Coturnix japonica: one gene and its partners. The protein of the gene in region 1 binds, or shares a complex with, the protein of each later gene. Links are inferred from orthologs where the notes say so. Each region holds a gene or a part of one and is shown on either strand. Other genes may lie near its edges. The genes, in order: E2F4, TFDP1, MYBL1, LIN52, LIN54 and RBL1.

Evidence for each region.
Region 2: E2F4 (region 1) and TFDP1 share a complex: the UniProt entries of both Homo sapiens proteins name them as parts of the DREAM complex. The link is inferred for Coturnix japonica from reciprocal best matches to the Homo sapiens genes E2F4 and TFDP1.
Region 3: E2F4 (region 1) and MYBL1 share a complex: the UniProt entries of both Homo sapiens proteins name them as parts of the DREAM complex. The link is inferred for Coturnix japonica from reciprocal best matches to the Homo sapiens genes E2F4 and MYBL1.
Region 4: E2F4 (region 1) and LIN52 share a complex: the UniProt entries of both Homo sapiens proteins name them as parts of the DREAM complex. The link is inferred for Coturnix japonica from reciprocal best matches to the Homo sapiens genes E2F4 and LIN52.
Region 5: E2F4 (region 1) and LIN54 share a complex: the UniProt entries of both Homo sapiens proteins name them as parts of the DREAM complex. The link is inferred for Coturnix japonica from reciprocal best matches to the Homo sapiens genes E2F4 and LIN54.
Region 6: E2F4 (region 1) and RBL1 share a complex: the UniProt entries of both Homo sapiens proteins name them as parts of the DREAM complex. The link is inferred for Coturnix japonica from reciprocal best matches to the Homo sapiens genes E2F4 and RBL1.

The regions. Positions count from the first base shown.
Region 1 is NC_029526.1:1,552,154-1,556,372, reverse strand, and holds the start of E2F4 (transcription factor E2F4), read left to right. Parts: upstream 1-1,419; 5' UTR 1,420-1,466; coding exon 1,467-1,622; intron 1,623-2,665; coding exon 2,666-2,775; intron 2,776-3,195; coding exon 3,196-3,357; intron 3,358-3,622; coding exon 3,623-3,666; intron 3,667-4,219. Other genes in the region: EXOC3L1 (exocyst complex component 3-like protein), read right to left, coding at 623-665. UniProt on the Homo sapiens protein: Transcription activator that binds DNA cooperatively with DP proteins through the E2 recognition site, 5'-TTTC[CG]CGC-3' found in the promoter region of a number of genes whose products are involved in cell cycle regulation or in DNA replication.
Region 2 is NC_029516.1:123,705,282-123,708,781, reverse strand, and holds part of TFDP1 (transcription factor Dp-1), read left to right. Parts: intron 1-1,069; coding exon 1,070-1,191; intron 1,192-1,466; coding exon 1,467-1,632; intron 1,633-1,801; coding exon 1,802-1,948; intron 1,949-2,608; coding exon 2,609-2,677; intron 2,678-3,500. UniProt on the Homo sapiens protein: Can stimulate E2F-dependent transcription.
Region 3 is NC_029517.1:104,296,962-104,300,912, forward strand, and holds the start of MYBL1 (myb-related protein A), read right to left. Parts: upstream 2,801-3,951; 5' UTR 2,604-2,800; coding exon 2,404-2,603; intron 1-2,403. UniProt on the Homo sapiens protein: Transcription factor that specifically recognizes the sequence 5'-YAAC[GT]G-3'.
Region 4 is NC_029520.1:34,237,034-34,241,053, forward strand, and holds the start of LIN52 (protein lin-52 homolog), read left to right. Parts: upstream 1-1,220; 5' UTR 1,221-1,312; coding exon 1,313-1,331; intron 1,332-1,418; coding exon 1,419-1,493; intron 1,494-1,588; coding exon 1,589-1,626; intron 1,627-2,147; coding exon 2,148-2,214; intron 2,215-2,712; coding exon 2,713-2,796; intron 2,797-4,020. Other genes in the region: ALDH6A1 (methylmalonate-semialdehyde dehydrogenase [acylating], mitochondrial), read right to left, coding at 775-834, 968-1,018.
Region 5 is NC_029519.1:41,226,681-41,230,180, forward strand, and holds part of LIN54 (protein lin-54 homolog), read left to right. Parts: intron 1-693; coding exon 694-765; intron 766-1,875; coding exon 1,876-1,978; intron 1,979-2,170; coding exon 2,171-2,308; intron 2,309-3,007; coding exon 3,008-3,210; intron 3,211-3,500. UniProt on the Homo sapiens protein: Component of the DREAM complex, a multiprotein complex that can both act as a transcription activator or repressor depending on the context. In G0 phase, the complex binds to more than 800 promoters and is required for repression of E2F target genes.
Region 6 is NC_029535.1:564,174-568,103, forward strand, and holds the start of RBL1 (retinoblastoma-like protein 1), read right to left. Parts: upstream 2,801-3,930; 5' UTR 2,709-2,800; coding exon 2,359-2,708; intron 2,251-2,358; coding exon 2,050-2,250; intron 941-2,049; coding exon 876-940; intron 784-875; coding exon 655-783; intron 543-654; coding exon 382-542; intron 1-381. UniProt on the Homo sapiens protein: Key regulator of entry into cell division. Directly involved in heterochromatin formation by maintaining overall chromatin structure and, in particular, that of constitutive heterochromatin by stabilizing histone methylation.

The DNA of each region.
Region 1 (4,219 bases):
TTACCACGGATGGGGCCATGCAGTGAACAGGCTGCCCCGAGGAGCTGTTATCCAACCCACCAGCTCAGGGTGCCAACCTGAGGTGACCCAGCACGACAAGGACACGTTGCCCACGGGGGTCTCGTGCCACCTGGGAAGGCAGCGAGTCAGAAGGTGGCACAAAGAGCTGCTGGTCCGTGTGCCACTCCTGGAGGCTCTGCCTGAGGGAGCCACGCTGGTACAAGCACACCCAGGCTCCTGGACTCCTTGGTGTCCCAATGGGCTGCATGGGGCTGTCTTCAGAGTCCAAATAGAAGTGTCCAAAGCCAAGCCAAGGGCTGAGGGCTGAGACACAGCTCATCTTCAGGGCTCATTGTTTCCCCCCTTCCGAGAACTGGGGCTCCCTGCACCCCCCCGGGAGATGCCACCTTGCCCCCACCTGAGCTCCCCCACAAGGACACCGCTCGGGCTCGGGGCTCCCAAAGAAGAGCAGCGCATCCCTGGAAGGCGGGGAGCTCAGAGGGAAGGGCTGCAGCGTGGGGAGACGGTGGCAAAGCAGGAGATGGGGGAGCGTGAGCAGCACGGAGCGGCAGCCCTCCTCCCCTGCCCGGCACCGCGGGGGCTGCAGCATCGTCCCCGTTACCTGTAGGGCTCGCGCAGCGCTCGTCCTTCGCCGACATGCCCATGGTCTCAACGCCGCTGTGCACATACGAGCGGGGCTGGGCCGAACGGAGGAAGCCGACGGTCGTTTCCTCCGGCACACGGCGATCCTCAGGGGCTCATTGTGTTCCCGAGGACGCGCTCAGGATGTCGGGGCCGGAGGGGGAGCAGGGGAAGGAGGAAGGACATAAAGAGCGGCCACTCGGTGCGGGGCTCCCTATGGGGCAGGGTGACCATGGGTGCCCCCCATGACTGCTGGGTGCCCCCTATTGCCGCTGAGTGCCCCCTATGGCTGCTGAGTGCCCCCCATGGCCGCTGGGTGCCCCCCATGGCCGCTGGGTGCCCCCTATGGCGTTGGGTGCCCCCTATGGCCGCTGGGTGCCCCGGGGCTCTGCTACGTGCAGGATCTGAGCTGCCCTGTCGCTTTGTCTGAGCTGTGGGCACCCCGTTGGATGCCCAGCGGGGGTTCGGTGCGTTCATTCATTACGGGAAGGGGGCGGTGATGGCTCGCAATGCTCGGGGACACGGGTTGGCCATGAATGCTTTGGTTAACGGGGAATGGGATATCCCGGGGCCGCCGGGTAACCTCCATAGGGTTACGATGAGGCAATAGGGCATTGCCCGTCCAGAGCAGCGGTGGGCTCGGGCTCGGGCTCAGCCCCGCAGCCCTGTGAGCAGCCCACCATGGGGCTGGGACCCCCGGCCCCGACCCCCGCCCGTCCTCGCCCCCCCACGTGGTTTCCACGCCCGCCCCACAACGGAAGCTCCCGTCATACCCCCCGAATCGGAAGCGGAAGCGCGGCGGGCCTGGAGCCGGCGGCGGGCAGATGGCGGAGAGCGGGCAGCAACCGGCCGGGGCTGCGGGAGGAGGGAGCGGGGGAGCCGGGGCGCCCAGCCGGCACGAGAAGAGCCTGGGGCTGCTCACCACCAAGTTCGTGTCGCTGCTGCAGGAGGCCAAGGACGGAGTGCTGGACCTGAAGCTGGTGCGGGGCCCGTGGGAGGATGGGGAGGCCCGGCCGGGGGCATCGATGTGTGAGGGGGGGGAGCGTGGGGACGGCGGGTCGAACGATATGGCTGCTCTGCTGCTGCTGTACGGCCTGCACGCTGTGCCCCTCCGTGCCCCTCTGCTTGTGCGACCCTCCAGTTCTGTTCCCATCAGACAGAGCAGCACTCTGCTCCATGCCCTGCAAGCAGAATGAAGGCAGCCCTGGGTTATGAAGCTGTGCTGGAAGTACAAGGCTGGGGTGGTCCCCTGGCTATGCTGTCCTCTCCTATGGCAAACTGCTGTCTACTTGGATTAGGGCAGAAGGACGATGTTCCCTAAGCTGTCAGTTCAATGGGGGTTATGTTTGTTAGTGTGGTTTGTGCGTGGTCACTGAAGTCCTGCAGTGTGAGAGGGGCAAGTCATTTGTGCATTGCCCTCTGTGTGACACCACTGTGTGACTGGCAGCAGTTAAAGTCTTGTTACTTCTGCATTGCCGTCTGGTTGGTGAAGCAATATCGGTGCCTCCTGAATGTGAGGGGAGGGTCCTTCAAAGGGTCAGGATCATGGGATCATTGGGGTTGGAGGGGGCTGCTGGAGTTTATGCAGCCCAGCCCCATTGCTGAAGCAAGTCCCTGGATTAGAATGCACAGGAAAGCATCCAGGTGGGTTCTGATACCTACAGAGAAGGAAACAGCACAGCCTGTTCCAGTGCTCTGTCCTCCCTGTATCCATTTCCAGAGGACTCATGACCTCGTGTCCATTCTCTATCAGCTGGCATCAGGTTTTAGGTATAAAAAACCTTTTGAGTGTCAGCTTTGCTGAACTGCTGTCGTTCAGGCAGCCCTCTACCTTCAGATTCTCATCTCTCTTTACACTCGAGAAGCACTGAATGTTTAGGCTGCCAGGCTTGTAGCCCTGCCCTGCTGCTGAGGAGCTGTATGGGATGGTGAGCAGATAGATTGGTCAGAAGTTAATCTGATAGGCAGGAAGGAGAGAAGCATGACTGAGAGTTCGGAGTTAAGTGTCTGACTTCTATTGCAGGCTGCAGACACCTTGGCTGTGCGACAGAAACGACGGATCTATGATATCACGAATGTTCTGGAAGGGATTGGGCTGATTGAGAAGAAATCAAAGAACAGCATCCAATGGAAGTGAGTGATGGAGTTGAAGTCATTCATGGGTCCCTTCTAATCCAAGGTCTTGTCTTCTGGGTGCCTTTCTGCTGGTTTATCAGTGGCCTGTGCTGAGCTGTGCTGATGGTAGTAATGAGGAATGTTAAAGTATGTATGGCACATTGCTTTTATAGCAGAGCTCGTATTTTGGTGCAAACTATTTCCATGTCTCGAGTTAGAAAAGACACCTTTCATGGTGCTGGAGGTGGGGGATGGAGGAGGATGCACTGCATGGTGCTGTGCTGGAAGATGGTGTGAGGCTGCAGGGCGGGTACAGGTGAGATTCTCTGGCCTTGATGTGTGATAAAGGGGGAAGGAAGGAAGGTGGCAGCTCTCAAAAGCCGGGTGTTTTGGTTGCTCTGTTAGCTGATGCATGTCACTGCTGTTTGCTCTGTGCAGAGGGGTGGGTCCTGGCTGCAACACGCGTGAGATTGCTCACAAACTCATCGAGCTGAAGGCAGACATAGAGGACCTGGAGCAGCAGGAACAGGAGCTGGAGAAGCAGAAGATGTGGGTTCAGCAGAGCATCAAAAACGTCACAGAAGACGTGCAGAACAACTGATATCCTTTTGTCAGCCGGCCGTTCCTCAGGGCTGAAAGGCAGGAGCTGGGGCTGGGCTGGCAGTGCTCTGCTGGGGGCACCTCATGTTGCTGCTCTGAAAGGATAAGGAGGTCATCCCCCCCTTGGAAGCAGATGAGCACTGCCCAGTATAGACAATAGCTTCCTTTGCAGCGTTTCTTGTGCTCAGAAAGGAAGGAAACTCCAGGTGCCCTTTGAGTTCCGTCTTCGCAGGAAACTGCAGCTGTTGTCCTTAACCTTCCAAACGCTAGCTTATGTGACACACGAAGATATCTGCAAGTGCTTCACAGGTGAGGAAATGGTGCTGCATCATAGAGATATAATGCTGCAGTCCTGTCAGCCTATGCCAGCTGCTTTCCTTTCTCTAGGAAAGAGGAGGCAGCACATCTTGACTTAGGGCTGAGCATGGGCTGCCCTCAGCTGCATCATGCCTTGTACCAGGAGGAGAGCAAAGAGGAGGGAGTGAAGAGCAGGACAGAAGGGAATGTGCTTCTTGTTGTGACTTCACATCCTTGAGGGGCAAAAGTGGCAAAAAAGCTGCAGGAGTCTGTTTCCTCTCTGTTGGCAATTGCACTGATAGCTGCAGGGCCAGAAATACCCCAGTGCAGTTTGGCAGCCTTCTCAGCTGTAGCAGCGTGGATTCAGAGCTGCTTTCTGCTTCAGTGAATGCCTGCCCTCTCCTGACCCTCTGCAACCTACATCTGCTTGCTTGCCTCAGAGAGTTCAATGGGGAAGCTGCTTATCCTGCCCACCCCAGCTGTGCATAATCTCACCCTCATCTGACTGCTCACCTCTTCCAAGCTGTCTCATCATCAGCTCTTCCGTTTCTCATCTTTCCTTTCT
Region 2 (3,500 bases), on another chromosome or scaffold:
GTGCTATTTTAATGCAAAGTCATGATCTTCTGTGAACTTGTGAGTAAAGCCTAGGGTTATCAGCATTTCTTTTAAGGAGACGATAAGAATGCTAAATAATTCTTAGACGAATCTGAAATTCTGGGCTGTGGGGTCTTCCTTAATTGTCAGTACATACTTGTTTACCTTTGAATAAGGCACTTGTGAGAGTAATTAGATTTCAAAGAGTTATTTAAAATAAAAGCAAGTAACCCCACATTGAAGAAGCTCCTTTTTGCCTGTAGGATTTATCTATTCCTCTGTGTTCTATAGAAAAACAGAATAGTCTTAACATATGATTGTTCATTATGTGAAGACTTCTCAATATTTGATAGGAATATTAGGCTTCTTAAGGATACTTACTGTATTTCTAAGGTTCTCTATCCCTCACATAGAGTATTTGCATAATACATGAACCAAGATCTGAGCCATACCCTTTATGTGAAAGCATGGGCCTTATGATATAAACATATAGCATAAAAGCAGATTATTATGAGGCTAAAATAGCTATAGTGTAGCTGTAGTTTCTCAGTAATTGAGAAGGGTACACCATTCTTTTTCTTCACTTCTAATGTACTCATACTTTGTTTTTAGCTCTGCAGTGAGAGTCTGCCTGTAGGAAACAATTCCTTGACACTGCACTGTTTTTTCTCAGCTTTTACTCATTTTCAAACCTTCTTGTTCTGTACATTTATATTTTAACAGTAATTTACTGCAACATCTTTAGATGTAGTTTGATAGGATTTTTTGTTTTGTTTGCCTTGGACCTTGTCTAAATGAGAGTTGAAGCATTGTAAGAAACCCAGTAAGCATGAAAAGCTCATTTTGGAAGGATAAAATAAAAATGATTATTGCTTAAGGAGTGATTTAACCATGTGATGTGCGGTCTGAAGGTTTTTGTGCTTGTGTGTCTAAGTTGAAGGCTTCTGTTACGAGTGTATAGAAAGTAAGCATTTTTTGGTTCTTGACTAATGTGTCATGAATAATGCAGTATCTGAACATCCTGGGATAGTTATGGTTATTTTCTAAATGATTTTTATCTTTGTTGTAGGTTATCGGTACACCTCAGAGACCTTCAGTGCCAAATACTATCCTGGTAGGAAGTCCACATACACCTAACACACATTTTGTATCACAAAACCAGACTGCAGATTCTTCGCCGTGGTCTGTTGGGTGAGCAAAATAAAAGTTACAAAGGATTAATAAATTACTTAGAACTTTTGCTCTAAATGTTTGCCGTGATAGTGTATATGCTCTTCATGCTGGCAGTGTGGGAAAGACAGTCTGTTTACCTTCAAGGGTGGAATCATACAAAAAAGACATTGGGAAGGGGAGAAGAGTAGAATAAAAGGGAAGACCTTGGACTTTTGTATCTGTGCTTGGAAAAGAGATGTTAAGTATTCCAAAAGTTCAAATCTTCTTAAAAAACATATCATATGTATGTTTAGGAAACGGAACAGAAAAGGAGAGAAGAGCGGCACAGGTTTACGTCATTTCTCTATGAAGGTTTGTGAGAAGGTACAAAGAAAAGGAACGACCTCATACAATGAGGTGGCAGACGAGCTGGTTGCAGAATTCACTACCCCTGATGATCACATTTCACCAAATGAATCAGTGAGTATATGGGAGGTTAGTTACGTGTGAACTGAGTGGGGAGGCTTAGATTTCTTCTCCCATTGCTTAATTAAACAGTTCAGATAATAACCAAGATTACACATTTGCTGTAATTTATTTTCAGACGTTTTTGTCAGGCATGTTTTTGATTAACGCTCTATGTCTACAGCAGGCTTATGACCAGAAGAATATTAGACGACGTGTCTATGATGCCTTAAATGTCCTCATGGCCATGAACATTATCTCTAAGGAGAAGAAGGAAATCAAATGGATTGGTCTACCTACAAACTCGGCTCAGGAATGTCAGAATTTAGAGGTAAATGTATAGGAAATTCACAATGGATTTGTTTTGAATAAAAACTTGGATTTGCTTTTATTCTACATGTGCATACGATCTTCTGAGATAAAAAGTAGAATAGTTTGGTCCCTTCTGACTTCCTTTTTAATTTATGTTTATGCAATATGCATCTGAATTTTCCAGATTGCTTGAATATATATATATACACACACATATATATATTGCTATTTAGTTGTATAAAATGCAGCAGATCTAATCAGTGCTTAGTACTGTGGGAATGTAAGCAGCTTCATTTGTTTAAGTATCTTTCTCTTCTCCGATAGCTCCAATATCAGCAGGGTATACTAAGTAGATCATTCTGGTCTACATGCTCCTTGCCTCCCTCCTAGAATGTGGGTAACTCTTTGAGGCATAGCTTCCACTTACAAAGATGTTTTTATGCTCTTCCTTCTATATTCTGCTTTATTCCTGGATATCTTAACTCCTCTCTTTGTTACAGTTTCCATTGGTAGTACTGATGTGAGACTTTGTAGATCTCAGCATCTTCTGCAGTGCATTAGTGACTGATGCACTTGTTGCCTTCATTTATCTGGTATTTAAACAGTTTAAGGGGAGAAAATGTTGATAGAAAACACTATTTAAAACCTACAAACTAATCAGTTTGTTCTCTGTCTTAAGGTGGAGAAACAGAGAAGACTTGAAAGAATAAAGCAAAAACAATCTCAACTACAAGAACTCATTCTACAGGTACAGTCAAGGTACTCTTGTCTATAGGGCAAGGTAACTTACATCTGCATTCCTCGTTTTGTCCCACTGGGGAATGGGAGACCTCTAAGAAGGCTAGAGATTAATTTTGGGATAAAGGTAGCACTGGGACCATGGTGTTGACTGTTGCTTATGGCAAAGGCAGCAACCTTCTATGAGCCATGATGGGTTTTTTCCTGTAGTTGTATGTTTAAAAAAAATTTGCGTTAACAGGACCAATAATTCATACTGTACTCCTCAGTATTGTACAATGAATGTTTTTCTGCAGTAGTCCTCAGATAAAATAGCTTGACTTTAACAGGTCATCTCTTGTGATGATCTTTGTCTTGCCTTTCTTGAACGTTGCTGCCCTGCCCTGTAGGTGGCTTAATTGCATTGGCACAGTTGCTAAATTGCAACTTGAGCTCCTTTCCAGATTCCACCTAGTATTTTGTAGGAAGCAGTAATCCCCTGAGTCCCTGTACTGCTGGTTCACTGTAATGTATTGTGTTATGTATTCAGTAAGAATGAGAATCAGGAAGGGCGTGCAGAAAGAAAAGGCAATTGTGGATTTGCAATTTCCACAACTATCTGATTTTTACCAGCCTCTGTTGGCTTTGTATTTTCATTTATTTATTTGAATTCCCATGTATTTCATTGTATTCCATGACCAGAAACACGCTATTTCTAGTTTGGTGGCTTAGTGTAAGATATTAATGTAAATTGGGTTTTAGTAGTTAACTAGAATAATTTCAAAGACTAACAAACAGAAGAATTAAAATACAAACAATCCATTCATGCGGAAATTGCATTCCGAGGAAATTCA
Region 3 (3,951 bases), on another chromosome or scaffold:
CTGGGTAAGAGTCAGCGGGGCGGGAAACCAGGTAACGATTGCAGCTCCACGTAGGTCACACTCCATCTACTGGAGAAATCCCTGCTTCACAGCCTTAATAAACAAAGCCTTTCAAATAGGAAGCACAGGGAAATGCTTCATGGAAACAACACTCAAACTTACACGTCAGTGATTCATGCTGGACAGCACAAACTTAAACAAGCGAGGAAACCTAGGCCTAGCATCAGGAAGGGCAGATCCTCTGTGTTAGTTACAGCAGAGACACAGAGGAGACTCACAGCTACTTATACAGCCCTAATTATAGTGAACTCCACACCACGTTTTAAGTTTCACCCATTTTGTTATCAATATAAAGCACAATATCACAAGTTCCTATTCAGAACTAAATTTATCTTCCCAGTCAAGGAATGCATTATTCCCTCCCCACCCCCAATAAATAAAGCCTTGCTCAGAAATGAAGCAAACCTGTGCTGGTGTCCTAACAACTATTAGATGGCAGAGCTCTGAATTAATTCTAGAACCCGCTGTTCGCTCACACAGCCCATAGAGCAGCCAATTGTGCCTGTCAGTTAATGCACATTAACTTCTTTTTTTGCCTCTTTCCCACAGGCTCTTGACCAATTTCAAGAGCATACCTTGGTATTATAATCCTAGTTCATACCAAGCACACCATACAATCTACTTGTGTGGTGCTCAGGGATATGATTTAGCAGAGGGTTGTTAAGAGTTGGGGTACTATGGTTAGGCTACGGTTGGACTTGATGATCTTCAAGGTCTTTTCCAACCTGGGTAATTCTATGATTCTACTTATAACCAAGGATTTGGCCTGGCAGTTCAGCCCACTGCCAGCAGCACCTTCCTGCTCAACCACTACACAACAGCCAGATTCAAGCACCAAGACTTGGGTTATGTGAAAAGCCACCCAGATTTTAAAATTATTAAAATATAATAAGAAAATAATGGAGGTGAGGGTCGCTGGAAGCCTCGTACCCACAGTTCTGGAGCCAGTGCACTCTGCAGGCAATGAGTCACCTACACCTGGCTCAACACAGGAGCTGCTGCATCATCATCAGCCTTGTGCTGAGCGGGACATGGGACTGTAAGACCGACACAGAAGGATGTTTGGGACTGCTGCAATTCCAACTGGGAACAAAAGGCTTCTCAATGAGGTTGGACTGTTCACCTGGCAACTCACAGCAGCTGTGAAAGTGGACTTAACACAGCATAGTTAGAACCAAGTTCCATCAAACGAGTCACTGGAACAAGGAAGTGTTCCATGAGCTACGTACAGGCCGCCTTTAAACATCTCTTAACTCAAGTCTTCCTTTATTACGTAATTCTTATTTAATAAAAACAATAAAAATACATCCCAGTTAAAGTAATAATAATTAAAAAACAACCAAAGAGCCAATCTTTATGAAAATTAAACTTCATTCCATTAGGTGCAAAGAAAATTATAGTTTCTTTTCACACCACACTTTAACTAATGACCTTGAAATCACCTTCTGGGAACTTGGAACTACACTGGTTTAGACTGGGCTTTACCATCACCATTCACTACCACAGCGCTCTCCTGGAGCTCCAGATCTCTAGCCAGAGGCTCCTCTACGACCACAGCTAGTTTTATTTTCTGCTGTGACATCAAAGCCCTTCACACTCCTGACAGAGAGAACAAGATGAAGCTTCGTAAAGATGAAACTACAGTTTGCAGGAGTGCAGCTGAAGGCACCCTGCTACAAGCATCACAAACACTCCCTGAGCCGGCTCCTGCAGACCGGAGCCTCTGCCAGCAAAGCCTTCAGAGCACCATTGCTCCTCACACAGCAAGAACTCCAAAGCATCGCTTTCTTGGTTTAGCTGCGGTTTTTCATAAGAAAAGTATCTGCCAAAGAAACTATTTGCGACTTTGAGAACAGCAGCAGCTCCACGGGAGCGCTGCAGCAGCCCCAGGTAGTGCACAAAGTGCCGCTGCTCACTGAGCATCCTTTACTATCTCGGTCCTCGTTCTCCTTTTACGCCGTGCTACCACTTTTTCTATTTAAGACAGGAGCAATAAAGTACTTCTGCCAGACCCACGTTTGAATTCAAAGCGAAGACACACCCATCTCCATATCAGTAAACAACAAACGTATCAGAGCCATCTGCGGCCGCTACCGAAGCCCGTGAGGAAAGCTGTCCCCGAGGAAGGCAAAAAAAGCACCCCGGGACTGTTTGTGTCCCAGCAGAAGGGGATACCCGCAGGAGGAGCACCCAGGCCGGCCGTGAGGGGGGTGAGGAAGAGGAGGGAGGGGGACGGGCAGGGGGCACCTGCGCAGGGAGGGGGGCGGCACCCAGCACGGGGAGGGAGGGGGAAGGCGGGGACGGCAGCTGGCAGCGCTCCGGGCCGGGCGGCGCCGCACTCACCTGCGCGGTCTCTTGGCCATCCTCGGGTCGCAGCATAGGGGGGGCCGCCAGGGCAGCGGAGCTCCCCAGCCCCCGCCCGAGCTCCCCGCCCCGCAGCCGCCGAGCTCGGGCAGGGCGGGGGGAGGAGAGGGGCAACGGCGGCCGACGGAGGCTTCGCGTTCCTGGGACGGTTCCCTCCTTCCCGCGGAGCTCCGCGGCATCCGCAGACGCGCTGCCGGCCGCCCTCAGCCCCGGCCCGGCCCGAGCGCGTCAGGCATGGCTCGGCCGGGCCCTGCCCGCAAGGACGGGGCGCGCAGCGGCCCCTCTCCCGCCCGCCGCCCTCTCTCCTGTCACAGCCGCCGCGGGCTCCGGCGGCGCCTTCCCGCCCCGAGCCGCCGCCCGGCCTGTCTTCGCCTCACCTCGCCTCACCTCGCCCCGCTCTGCCCGGCCCGCCCGCCGCCAGCCGCCCCCCCNATGGCTCGGCCGGGCCCTGCCCGCAAGGACGGGGCGCGCAGCGGCCCCTCTCCCGCCCGCCGCCCTCTCTCCTGTCACAGCCGCCGCGGGCTCCGACGGCGCCTTCCCGCACCGAGCCGACGGCGAGCCCGTCTTGGCCTCACCTCGCCTCACCTCGCCCCGCTCCGCCCCCCCCCCGCGGCCCCGGCTGCGCCGCCACCGCCACAGTCACGGCGGGCTCGGTCGGTGCTGCCGAATCTCGCGCCCAGCCTCCTTCCCGAGCCACCGTTTGAATCTGCGCAGGCGGACTGCCGCCCCATTGGCTGCCGCCGCCGCACGCGACACGGACGCGGGAGGGGCCGGGGGGAGGCGGGGCCGCGCGAATCCTCGCGCCAGCCCGAGGCGGGGGCGGGGGGGGAAGGAGGAGGAGCGGCGGGGACGGCGCGTAACGGGGCCGCGAGGCTCCTCCCAACGACCAGCGCTGCCGCCTCGTAACGCCCGCACCGCGCGGACGGGGACGGAGCAGCCCGCGCGGGGCACAGAAACGGCTGCCCGGCCTCGAGAGGGAAAAAACGGCCGCGGCCCTGTGGGGCAAAATGAAGCCTCCTTCGAGCCGGAATCGAACCAGCGACCTAAGGATTCCCGCAGGCGGCGCCTCTACAGTCCTCCGCTCTACCAGCTGAGCTATCGAAGGGAACTGGCGGCTGGCGCCGTTCCGCCCCTCACAGCTCGGCGGGCGCGGCGGGAACACGGCGTGCGATCTTCTCCTGTGGGGAGGGAGACTGAGGGGCCTGTCACAGTCACGCTGCTTTTGGAGAGCATATTATTATTACTATTTTTGATTATATAATAATAATAATAATAAATAGCTCTTTTCATGCACCGTATGAGAAGCAGCTGCCACCCAAAAAAGTGAAAAGCCACACAGTACCACACATACTTACACACCAAGCTTGTGTGCTTTGCCAACCTTCACTTTCTCCTGGTACATGCAGCCCGAAGCTGTGAAAATTCTAAAGGGCGAGATTATGACCTCACAGCATTCCCCTGGTGTGAGGCGTTGCTACAGGCAGGGGCACGGCTGCACAGCAGGCACTGCTTGCTTGGAGAGAATCA
Region 4 (4,020 bases), on another chromosome or scaffold:
CAGGCTTTTGCTATTTCCCACTGTACTCCATCATTTTTTTCCCCTTGATTTAGGCTAAAATTGTCAAAACCCCGTCTAAAAACTATTACAGAAGATACACATTGATAGAATCATGTTCAGAACTATTTTAATCTACTCAGTCACTACAATTGCTAAGTCATAAAAACCCTGCAGTTCACAGACATATTTAAAAGAAACCAGTTAATAATTCACTTGGTAAGAATTCTGCCCATTAGTTAAGGAGTTCAGGTAAGTATGGAGAAGAAAAAGCAGGGGTAGAAGATGCAGTTAGTGCTGCAACATGCAGGAAGAACTGGGGCCATATAAGTGAAGAGATTGGAATATAGTGCCAAAGGCTTTGCTGAAGTCTAGGTAGACTGTGCCAACAGCCTTTCCCTCATCCACCGGGCAGTTCACCTGGTGAGGGCAGGGATGCTAATGCTGCTGTGATGGTGGGAGAGGGATCAAAGGACGAATCAGGAAAATAAATGGGGCTGAGCCGGACAGGTCACGGCTGCGAAGAGTGTAATGGATAAGCGAGGCCTCGGCTTGTGAAGGAACGCGGCGGTGGGTTAAAATAAGAATAAGACATGACAAGTGCTGATGTGGCTGGCGTTACGGCGGGACGAGCCGTGCCGCGGGCTGCACTCGGGATAACACCATCTTCAGAACTGAAGGGAGAGCAGGAAATCCGAGCTGCTCCTCGGCCCGGCGGAGCCACCGCCGCGGGCCCCTCCAGCCCAACAGCAAACAGAGCTGCCCGGCCCCACTCACCACGGAGGAGGAGGAGACGGCGGCCGAAGCGATCCAGGGAGCCCCGGCTGTCCGCGGCAGCTGGATGTGGACACAGAGCAGCCCGGTTACACGGTGCTCCCCTCCTCCTCCACACCCCCCACCTCCTCCCCACCGCCCCCCGAGGTGCCACCCGCGGCCCCTCCCGCAGCGCTGTGTCCGTGTGCCGCCTCACCCTGAGCACCACGCGCCGCCCGCCCCAAGCGCCACGAGCCACCGCCGCCATCCCGGCCGAGGGTCACAGCGCTCGGACCCCGAGCGGAGCCCCCAGCACAGGGACCCGCCCCCGCCCGCTCATTGGCCAGACGAGCGCCCCCCCCGCCCGCTGTACGCCCCCCCCGAGGGGGCCTTGCCGGCCGCCAGCCAATCGCTGCCAGGGAGAGCGTCGCCCCGCCCCTTTCCCGCCACCGCCCCCCCATCCGGGGCAGCGATTGGCCACGAGCACTAAGGCGCTCGGGCTCTGTTGTCACGTGGGTGGATTCCCGCGGGCTGTGGGTTTAGGTCACGTGACGCAGGCAAGATGGCGGCTCCCGGTGACGGTAAGGCGCGCGAATGGGGTCATCGTCACCCTGCGGTACGGTCTGAGCGGGCGCCGCTTCACCTCCGTTCTACTCCCTGTGCTGTAGGTGCCGATCTGGAAGCCTCTCTGCTGAGCTTCGAGAAGCTCGACCGGGCTTCTCCGGACCTGTGGCCTGAGCAGTGTGAGTGAGTGCGGCGGGCCCGTGTCGCTGGGGTGATGGCGGGGCTGCCGGGCCGGCCCCGCGCTCACCCGGCGCTGTTCGGTTCTCTCTTGCAGTGCCCGGCGTCGCCGAGTTCGCCGCCTCCTTCAAAAGCGTAAGATGCCAACACCACGGCACTGCGGGTCATACAGGCACTGCGGGAGGGACGAGCTGCGCAGGAACGCGCTGCTCTAAGCCCTGGGGGTGCTGCTCTTACTGCTGGCTTTGGCTGTGACTTGCAGTAACACCCAACTCGTCCAGGAAGAGCTTTCTAGGCATTAGAGTAGCCCTGTAGGGTGCCTGGAGCCATCGCGTTTATTCTTTCAGTGTAACTGGTTGTAAATAGGTGACGGAGCACTGGAACAGGCTGCACAGGGAGGTGGTGGAGTCTCCTTCTTTGGAGATATTCAAGACCCGCCTGGACACCTACCTGTGTGACATGGTGTAGGGAGCCTGCTTTGGCAGGGGGGTTGGACTCGATGATCTCTAGAGGTCCCTTCCAACCCCTACAATTCTGTGTGTGTAAATGCTATATCAGGCTTTGTATGCAGCTAAAAATGTACTTCTCTGAGAATGTTTTGCTTTTTTTTCTTCCTTTCTTTTTGTTCTTTTTCTTTTTCCTCCCCCCCAAACCAGCCTATTACAAGCTCGCCTCCCAAATGGATGGCTGAACTGGAGAATGATGATATCGATATGTTAAAGGGTGAGTATGGGCTCCATGGGCACTGAGGCTGTCTGCGGGTGGGAATTCAGTGCCTACTAAAAAGATGAGCTCAGAGACCTTCTGAAGCCTTGTGGAAAGGAAGGGATGGGGGATGCTCCTCTTAATCTGCAGACCATCTTAACCTGCAGAACATCTCCAGTTGAATGATTCTGCTTAGGAGTCTTTGTCTTGTCAATTGCCTCTATCTTTAGTTGGTCCCACAAGAATATATACTGATAACAAAAATGCTGTTGTTCTCCTTGTTACTGCTTTTTGAAGCAGTAAATCCCTGCTGTTTATTTTTTCTTCATTTTTTTTGATTGCTTTGGAACAGTTAGAATGTCTTGCTGGTTATTATGAGTTGTGAGAGCTGAAGAACATATGCTGTACACTGTAAACCGATACTGTTCAAAGTATAACTTGAATGCTCTGTGAAGCGATAAACATAAGCTGCCACTAGAGGGCTACAGTGTTAAAAATCACGCTTTTTCCTTTTAGAGCTGGGAAGCCTCACTACAGCCAACCTGATGGAAAAGGTTCGTGGCCTGCAGAATTTGGCATATCAGCTGGGACTGGATGAATGTGAGTTCTGTGCACAGATGTGATGACTGTATTATGAATCTTGCCACTGAAGTGTGTGTTTATGTTGCACTTACAGTCAGAAAAGTACGTTTGCTGAAGTGGGGAATGTCACACAATTATGACAGTGCAATAGAGAATTTTCTGAAGAAAAAAAGAGTGCTGCTCTAAGCAAGTCTATCATGGATGCAGTGGAGCCTAATAGAGCACATTTAAAAGAATTTCTTATTTTAGGTCTTGTTTTCTGTTTTGAATGCTAAGGTCCAGTGTTTTCTAGTGGCCCATCAATTTCTGACTTAACTTTGGCTTAGGTAAATCACTCAGTTTGCTTCATTTACCGCTTAGGTGCTAACACTCTGTCACAGAGTATCTGTGCCACCACTTCTGTGACTGTGCGTTTGTGTACTGCCTACAGAGTGAAAATGTAACTGGTGTGCAGGATTCTGTTAGCCATTAGTGCTCTTGTAACTTTGGGCTTCTGCAGTTATTTATTTTCCATAGTCAGCTATAGCAGGAGGTGCTGTCACTGCATTCTAAAGTTGACCTTCATCCTGCTTACCAACAACCAATTTATGTCAGTGCCTTTTTTGAAGGGGGGTGGGGGTGGGAGTGGGGGTGGGGATGGGGGGAAGATGCGTTTTTTTTATTGTCATTGCATATAGGATTTTGTTGTTAATGTGCTGATCCGGCTTTGAAGATTCCAAAGGGATTGTGCTTCCTTTAAACAGTATCTGTGTGTACTGATGCATTTAACTTTTACTGCTTTATTTTGCTCTGTCTTAGACTTCAGTTTTAGCAAACTCTTGAGCTTTACATGAGGCTTTGAAAATTTTTAGGCTCAAAGATTTTTTTCAGCTTTATTTCAGTGGGTAACAAAAAGCAGTTGAACTTTGAAGTCTCGTGATTGTGAGCCTGGAATACATATTTCTTATCAATAGATCATTAAGCCTGTTTGAACACTCTCTCCATAGGTAGAAATTTACTTTCAGTGCCAACATCTACAAGGATTGAATAAAGCTTTTAGTGGAGTAGAAGTTATACTTTAACAATGGAAATCTTAATCAAATAATAAGATTGGCTGGTGGTTTGCTTTCTCGATTTATATAACGTCTCACTGTATTTGCAATTTATTTTCACCAAAGTCTATCTCTGTAACACATTGAGTGCTTTGTGTGTCATGACGTATACATGTATGTTAGGAAATCTTCCATATATAATTAAATGCTG
Region 5 (3,500 bases), on another chromosome or scaffold:
TGTTGTTTTTGTGTTATTGTTTGCTGGAAGCTGTGTACACCAAGGTGCTTTTTGATGCTGCAACCAAAACTATGATGCAAACTAATCCCTAATCCAGCTGCAGCTATTCAGATGATTGGGTTTGATTTAATCTCCAGAAATGTGCAGAAATTGCTGGATAGGGATTGAATGAATCTCATCAAAAGAGATTAATGACACAAAATCCTAGTTTTTAAGAGCAGTTAAAGCTTACATTTGATATGAAATTCATCTTTAAACCCAAGGCAATATTTTGGCTTGCTTATCCATTGTTTCTGGATTTACTCTATCTTTATTTTGTTCCAGCTTGTGCAAAGGTAAAGATGTGATCCTGTTCTATGAACCTTTTTTGGACCTAGTCCTCTTATGGATAGGGATGTTCTAAGGAAGCTTTCTCTGCACATTGCAGTTAAGGTGCATCCTCTAGCTTTAAACCTCATTTCTACTAGAGACATGCAGACAAATTTACAGTGAATAAGCAGCTCTTTCTGAAATGGGAAAACACTATGTATAATGGTCACTTACTGTCAGTCAGAAACCTAACAGAAAGGGAACATGAAGGTTTGTTAGAGTTTGTAGTACAAGCCACTTACTTGAATTTAAATTAGGAAGAAACTGATCAAACTGTGTATAAATAGATGCTTTCTTTTTTTCTTTCTCTTTTTTCACCTATAGAATAATTCCTTCTGAATCTGCAAATCGGCCCCGGAAGCCTTGCAATTGTACAAAGTCTTTATGTTTGAAATTGTAAGTACTTCTGGTTATTTTTAATCCTTATTTTTGACACCGTATTTATCCCAAGAATCAAAATGTTTTTGTCTGTAAGAAATGTTACATCTATCTTGTAGCGTAGTTATTGTTGACGTTGATGGGGATGTTGCCATGCATGTGCCATTGTGCAGCTTATGTGAGCTGTATAGACCCTACCATATCATGAACTTCTAACCTTGCACCCTTGTGCATGATTGAGCCAGTTCTGCTCAGCAGTTGGAGTTGCATTTTTGCTGTCGGTGACGTTACATCCAACAGCATCATCAGTGGATGTCTGCTGTACTTCAGCAAATCCTGTGAATAATGGTACACAGTGTGAAGTTCTACAGCAAAATTGGGCTGTTTGGTTTGCTGTTTTTTTCCTGTTTTATTATGTTTCAGGAGGGGGAAACGGTGTTTGTTTTAAAGACTCAAATAGACAAGTGATTCTTAAGCAGTCTAAGACTTGGTCATCCTCTTGGTTGTTGTTTGTTTTTTTTTTTACTGTTCTATTTAGTGTTTGTAACAAGTTGATATAAAACATCTTAAGTTGTTTTGTTGCTTTTAACCTAAGCAGAGTCAGTATGCGGATTTCTGTACAATATCAGGAGGAAATATTAATCTGTGCTTCCATGAGTGCTATACAAAGAAGAAAAAAATCAGTGGTGTGTTTCTCAAAGGAAAATGATTCAATGGTTTCTGAACCTCCTTTAAGAAATGTTTAATTATTGCATTTTGGGTTTGTTTCCATGTAACAGACCCCACACTGTGTGTTGGGGTGTCCCCTGTACTTCCTAGTCTCAAAATTGTCTGCTTCACAGGTAGCAAGGTACACAGGAAGAGGTTTAGCTGTTCTGTTGATTACTCTTCAATTTGTTTTACAACATATCCACTTGTTGCCTTCATGGTGCCAAAATAGACATGCACTGGGAGAGTTAGTCCTGGGAGTGAGACTTATACCACTTGTTCATATGGGGCTTGGTACAAGATGTCCAAGACCTTTATTGGTGTGTTTGTGTCACCAGACTAGAAATGTCTGGTGCTGCCATTGGTACTACAACAAGGTAATGTCATGCTTGCTAATGCTTTCTCTGTCTTCTGTTTCAGGTATTGTGATTGCTTTGCAAATGGTGAATTCTGCAATAACTGCAACTGTACAAATTGTTATAACAACCTGGACCATGAAAATGATAGACAAAAAGCAATAAAGGTGAGAAGTCTTTTTTTCTTACTTTTGAGGTTGTTGAAGTGAACAGCATGTTCCATTCATATAAAATTTAGCATGTTTCTGAGTGGAATTGTGATGGGAAAACTGGCTGTGTAGCTTGCCTCCAAAGATAGCTGGGATAAAAGCAGCTTGTGCCTTCTGAAGTCTGATGGGTGTTTGGGTCTGCATTGACAGGCTTGCCTTGACAGAAACCCTGAAGCCTTCAAGCCCAAAATAGGGAAAGGAAAGGAAGGAGAGTCAGATCGGCGACACAGCAAAGGGTGTAACTGTAAGCGCTCGGGATGCCTCAAAAACTACTGTGAGTGTTATGAGGTAAGAAGCATTATGTCATCCTAAAGGCTTCGGCTTTTTCCATTTGGTGCTGCAACTTCACTGTTGGGCTTTGTCCCTTCCTCGTGCTGAAACTCTGCCATAATGATTTTGGTCTATTTTTCCTACTGATGGTTTACATCTAGAAAGCTGTATGCATTGCAGAGTTGTTCACTTCTGTCCTGAGCTTCAGTTAAAAACATGTGGCAACTCTGAACTCAGGCTTGGATTTGTCCTTTACTAAAGAGCAGTCTTTTCTAAAGGACTCCACAAATCCTACAGAAAGAAACATACAGCACCATGTCCCTAGGTGCTCTATTAGTTATTACAGTATTACACAGACACTCATCATGTCTGTTGAAGCCAAAGGGAAAAGCTTAATCAGACTGCTGATGCAACACAGTCTGTAGATGTGGAGATGGTAGCAGCCTGATCTCTCTAATAGTTTTAACTGCTCAATTCTATTGAAAACAGCAGATTGGGAAAGAAGGACATGAGTGGGAAACTGTTGATTTGCAGCAGATCCAAGCATAAATTCTGGAAAGGCATCTCACTTCAGTAAGAGAATTTGAAGAGAAGACAGGGTTTCTTTTAGTGGCTAATTAATAAGACACTAAGACAAAATGACATTTCTTCCATGGTTTGTCATAAAGAATGTCTTAAGTTGTGATGGGTTTCTCATCTTCTCTTTGTTTCTTTCAGGCAAAAATCATGTGTTCCTCCATATGCAAATGTGTTGGCTGTAAAAATTTTGAAGAAAGCCCAGAGCGAAAGACATTGATGCACTTAGCAGATGCTGCAGAAGTTAGGGTCCAGCAGCAGACAGCAGCGAAGACAAAGTTATCTTCCCAGATCTCAGATCTTCTAACAAGGCCAACTCCAGCACTCAGCAGCGGTGGAGGGAAGTAAGTTAACGCAGTCCTCCATTTTGCTTGACTCTAATGTACTTTTTCGGATGCGTGTGGCATGTATGTTCCTGTTATCTTTGAATGTTATCTGCATAAGCTGTGGGACCAGGAGTACACAGGTGACTGGAGTCACTTGTCTTCTGTGAAATCTAGTGTGTGCGAAGCATAGCCGTATTCAGACATGTAACTGAGCATTGGTTTTTTGTGGTTAGTGTACGCTGCTAGAAAACAAGAAATGCCCATCCCTTTACTGAGTGTGAATAAACCTCAGGCTGCCCATTTAGTAA
Region 6 (3,930 bases), on another chromosome or scaffold:
CCTGTGACCCCAACCTCCTCATTCAGAGCACTGTGTTTAGCCCATGACACACACCAGGATCCAGACAATCATGACAGCTACTCCACAAGATAACATCATCTTTAATTAAAACAGGTTATCACCTGCAATTTCCATACTGCCAAGGAAGCAAGGATTCTCCACTGACATAAGAAGCCAAAGCAGAGGGGGGCCCTACAGCACTCATCATTAGAAGGGAGAGTTCAGCTCCGCTCCTGCCAAAATGCACAGAGGAACAGACCTGAACCAACACAAGTCCTCTGCCTACCAGTGCACCTTCCTCCATACACACGGGATTTCAGTGTTCAAGACAGGACCGTCAGTATGAGCGCTATCACACATCCTTCAAATAGCAATACGAACCTTCCTATCAAACAGCTTAGAAATGTATGGCTTGAAGTAGTGCTCCTTTATTCCTTTCGCTTCCACAAGAAGCCCATCATGCAGCTCACACAGCGTGGCAATGATGCACGGGGGGTCCTCTGAGGCTTTCATCTCTAGTGCGTGGAAGTCAGCTGGTAAACCTGGGAATGGGCGAAGGGGAAAAACAAAACAACCAACCTCCATCTTTACTTAAAGAAGAATAACCAAAGGAACAAAGTGTATTTCATTTTGAATAACTGATCCCCACCCTACCTTTAAACGACGGATTTAGCAAATCTCTCCGATTTGGACACAAAATGGCATTTGCAAAAACCAGGTCCAAGCAGCACAGAAGCAGATGATAGGAATTTACTAAATCATCCCCAATCATACGGAAATTACCTTTAAGAGACAGCACATCATGTCAGGCGACGCAACAGAAGTTTGTAACTCAGAACGCATGCGAAACACGTGGCTGCAGAGCACAAGCCTACCCTTAGTGTACACAAACAGGGTCCAGCAGAAGTTGAAGAGATCCTTAACACCACACAGCACCCGCCTGTCAACGAGAGGGGTGGGAATCAGTCTCTGCTTCCAGGAAGCTGAAACATACTGCTTAGCAAGTTTCCTTCTGTTTCCATGCTCAAAGCAACAGACAGAGCCATCACCTCATGAGTGCAAACTAAGGCACACTGTAAGCTGCGGGCACACAGAGCAGCTCCTCTTACTGCAGCCTCCTGGATAGCTCTGCAGAGCTTCTGGCACAGCATCACCGACTGCTCTGAGCCAACAGCTGCCTGTGCTTGGTGCCCCAGGCACACTGCTTTGGTGATGGTGTAATTGCAACTGGAGTCTCATAGAGCTGCACGCAGAGCCATGCTGAGGGCTCTCTCAATTGCAGTGCATCTTTCTCCTAAACGTTTTACTAATGCATCACACATCCCTTCAAAACATGCAACCACAACTTGCACTGCAGCTCTTCTGGTGAATAGTCTAGGAGAAGAAATGAATGAAAACCACCTGACAGAGAAGCTAACAGTGCGGTCACGCTAATGAGAGCTGCTCTGATGAAGGAACATTAACAGTGCATGGACATTTCTCCTTGTGCAGACGCAGCAGAACTGGCTGCAGCAGCAGCAGCTCCCTTCCCATTTGTGCACAAGGAGCTACACCAGAGCGGGTTACCACAAATTAACCCCTTGCATCCAGACCAGCACGTGAAGCAGCAGAAACCCCCAGCAAAGAGCCAGCTCAGCTCCTGCTGCTGAAGGTCGTATCCTCATCAGAGCAACCAGGGACAACCACACAGTCAATGCAGAACAAGGACAAAGCCCTTGAATCTAGAAGCGCTCTGTGCATCAGGAAGACACCAGAAGCAGTTACAGTGTCACACAGATGAGCACATTGTCTGCATTTTTCTCCCACAGAAGGGCAGCGCTCACCTGGCACTCACATACGGGCAGTCACATAAAGCAGCCGCACGTTGGAGCCCCGCGGACGGAGCACCCTGAGAGGCACGGGGGGACTGACAGCCCAGCCTCAGCCACCGCCCTGCACCATCCCTGCGTTCACACTCAGTCACTTCAAAGCTCGGCCTTATTTTCTAAGCACAACAAACGTTCCCGTTACTTGTAAACCCATGCAAAGCCACACGGCGCTCTGCAGTACCTCTGCTTCCTGCTGCGCTGGGGTTTCCAGGTCTCCTCGTTGGGGTTTTGAAAGACATCCAGAAATATGGGCTCGAACTTCCTGAAGATGACGGTGGACACCTCGAAGTTCCTCTCCAGTCGCTCCACCCGCTCCCGGAACTCCTGCGGCACGTTGGCCATGTCCATCCACTTCTTCATTTTGCTAAAGAACTGAATCAGACTTAAAAGGAAAAAAAAAGAAAGAAAAGCCGACGAGGAAAGCGCCACTTTATTATCGGCTTTAACGCGCGTCCGTTCTCAGCGCCGCCCCGCGGGCCGAGCTGCGCACCTGAGCCTGGCGGAGCGCAGGATCCGGGTGAGCGACACGCCGTTCCCCTCCACGGTCCCGCAGCCCACGGTGGGCAGCACGCGGCGGCGGCACGCGGCGTACAGCGCGCAGGCCAACCAGTGCTGCGCGTCCCCCTGCAAGGCAACGCCGCGCGTGGGGCCGGGGCCGACTCGCCACGTCGCGGCCTGACGCCCGGCCTCACCGCCCACCTCCAGGCTGTAGGTGCCGCGCAGCGCCGTGAAGTCGCGCAGCGCCTCGGCCGCGCTGCCCGCGTCCAGGTTGAGCTCCCGGCACAACCGCTCCACGGCGGCGCCGAGCTCGGGCTCGAGCAGCGGCTCCGTGCGGGACATGACGGCGGCCCAACAACGGCCCGACCCGGCCCGGCCGGCACCGCGCCGAGCTGCTCTGCGCGCCAAAACCCACCACCGGAAACGGCGCGGCCGCTTCCGGCGCCGTGAGCGCCAACGGGCGGGAAACGGGAGGGGAGCGCGGGGCTGGGAGGGGCTGTGTGTGTAACGGAGGGGGAGCGGGCGGGGCGGACGGAACCAGGACGTGTCCGTGTCCGTGTCCGTGTCCGTGTCCGTGTCCGTGGGATGGCTCGTCCCTGGGCCCGTCCCATGTGCGCGCTGTGCCCGCCGCTCCGCAGAGCCGCCGTCCTCGGTCGCGGTGCGGGGCGGCCTCGTGTGTCACGGCGCTGCCCACAGCGTCACCTTGTGCCGAGCGGGGCTGCGGGGCCGGGACCGTCCGCACATGGCGCCGTGCGAGCGGCTCCTCGGGCAGCAGCTCGGGACCTCGGAGCTGCCCCAGCCCCGCACGGCTCCACGCACCGCCGGGAACTGACCCTTATCGCGTCCGTCCGCCCGAGGAACCGAACGGCGACCGCTCAGTAACGGCGCCGCCCTGAGCCGGAGCGACACCGCGAGCCGCTGCTCGGCACCTGCGGGCGTTCGCCGGGCTCCGGTGCAGGTGTCGCGGTGTCAGTGGGAGAAGGACCGTCCCGCAGAGCGGTGCTGCCCGAGCGCACCGAGCGATGCCGGCCGGTACCGCGGCCGCTCTCCGGGCTCCGCCTCCGCCCCCGGGCGCCCCGCAGCGCTCCGGGATCAGCCCGCCGTGCCTTGGGCCGCTCCGCTGCGGGAGCACGGCGGGACCTCGGCGCTGGTGCCGAGAGAAAAGCGAGGAACCGGTATCACAGTCAGGTGAATTAAACGTTCACATATATTTGCTGAAAAAAATTATATACATCTGTAGCAAGGCTCTGCCAAGTCTGAAAGATAAGCATCATCTCGTCACTAAATTAAAAAAATAAAAATCTGACCTTTAAATCTTTTTTTTGTTGGTTTTTTTTTTTGTTGGTTTTTTGTTTTTTTTTCCTTTTCTTTTTATCCACATCCAAGAGCACAGACCTTTATTTGTTAGCGCGTTTGGTGGGGATGTGTTTGTGTGGGGATCCAGGACAACCCGCGGAACGTCGGCGTTTCTTTGGGATAGGATGGAAAATGAGAAGGAGCTGCCAATGCCTCACAGCGCAAGTAATGCACAGAGCACATCGGGTTGCAAAAGGGTCACAAAGCA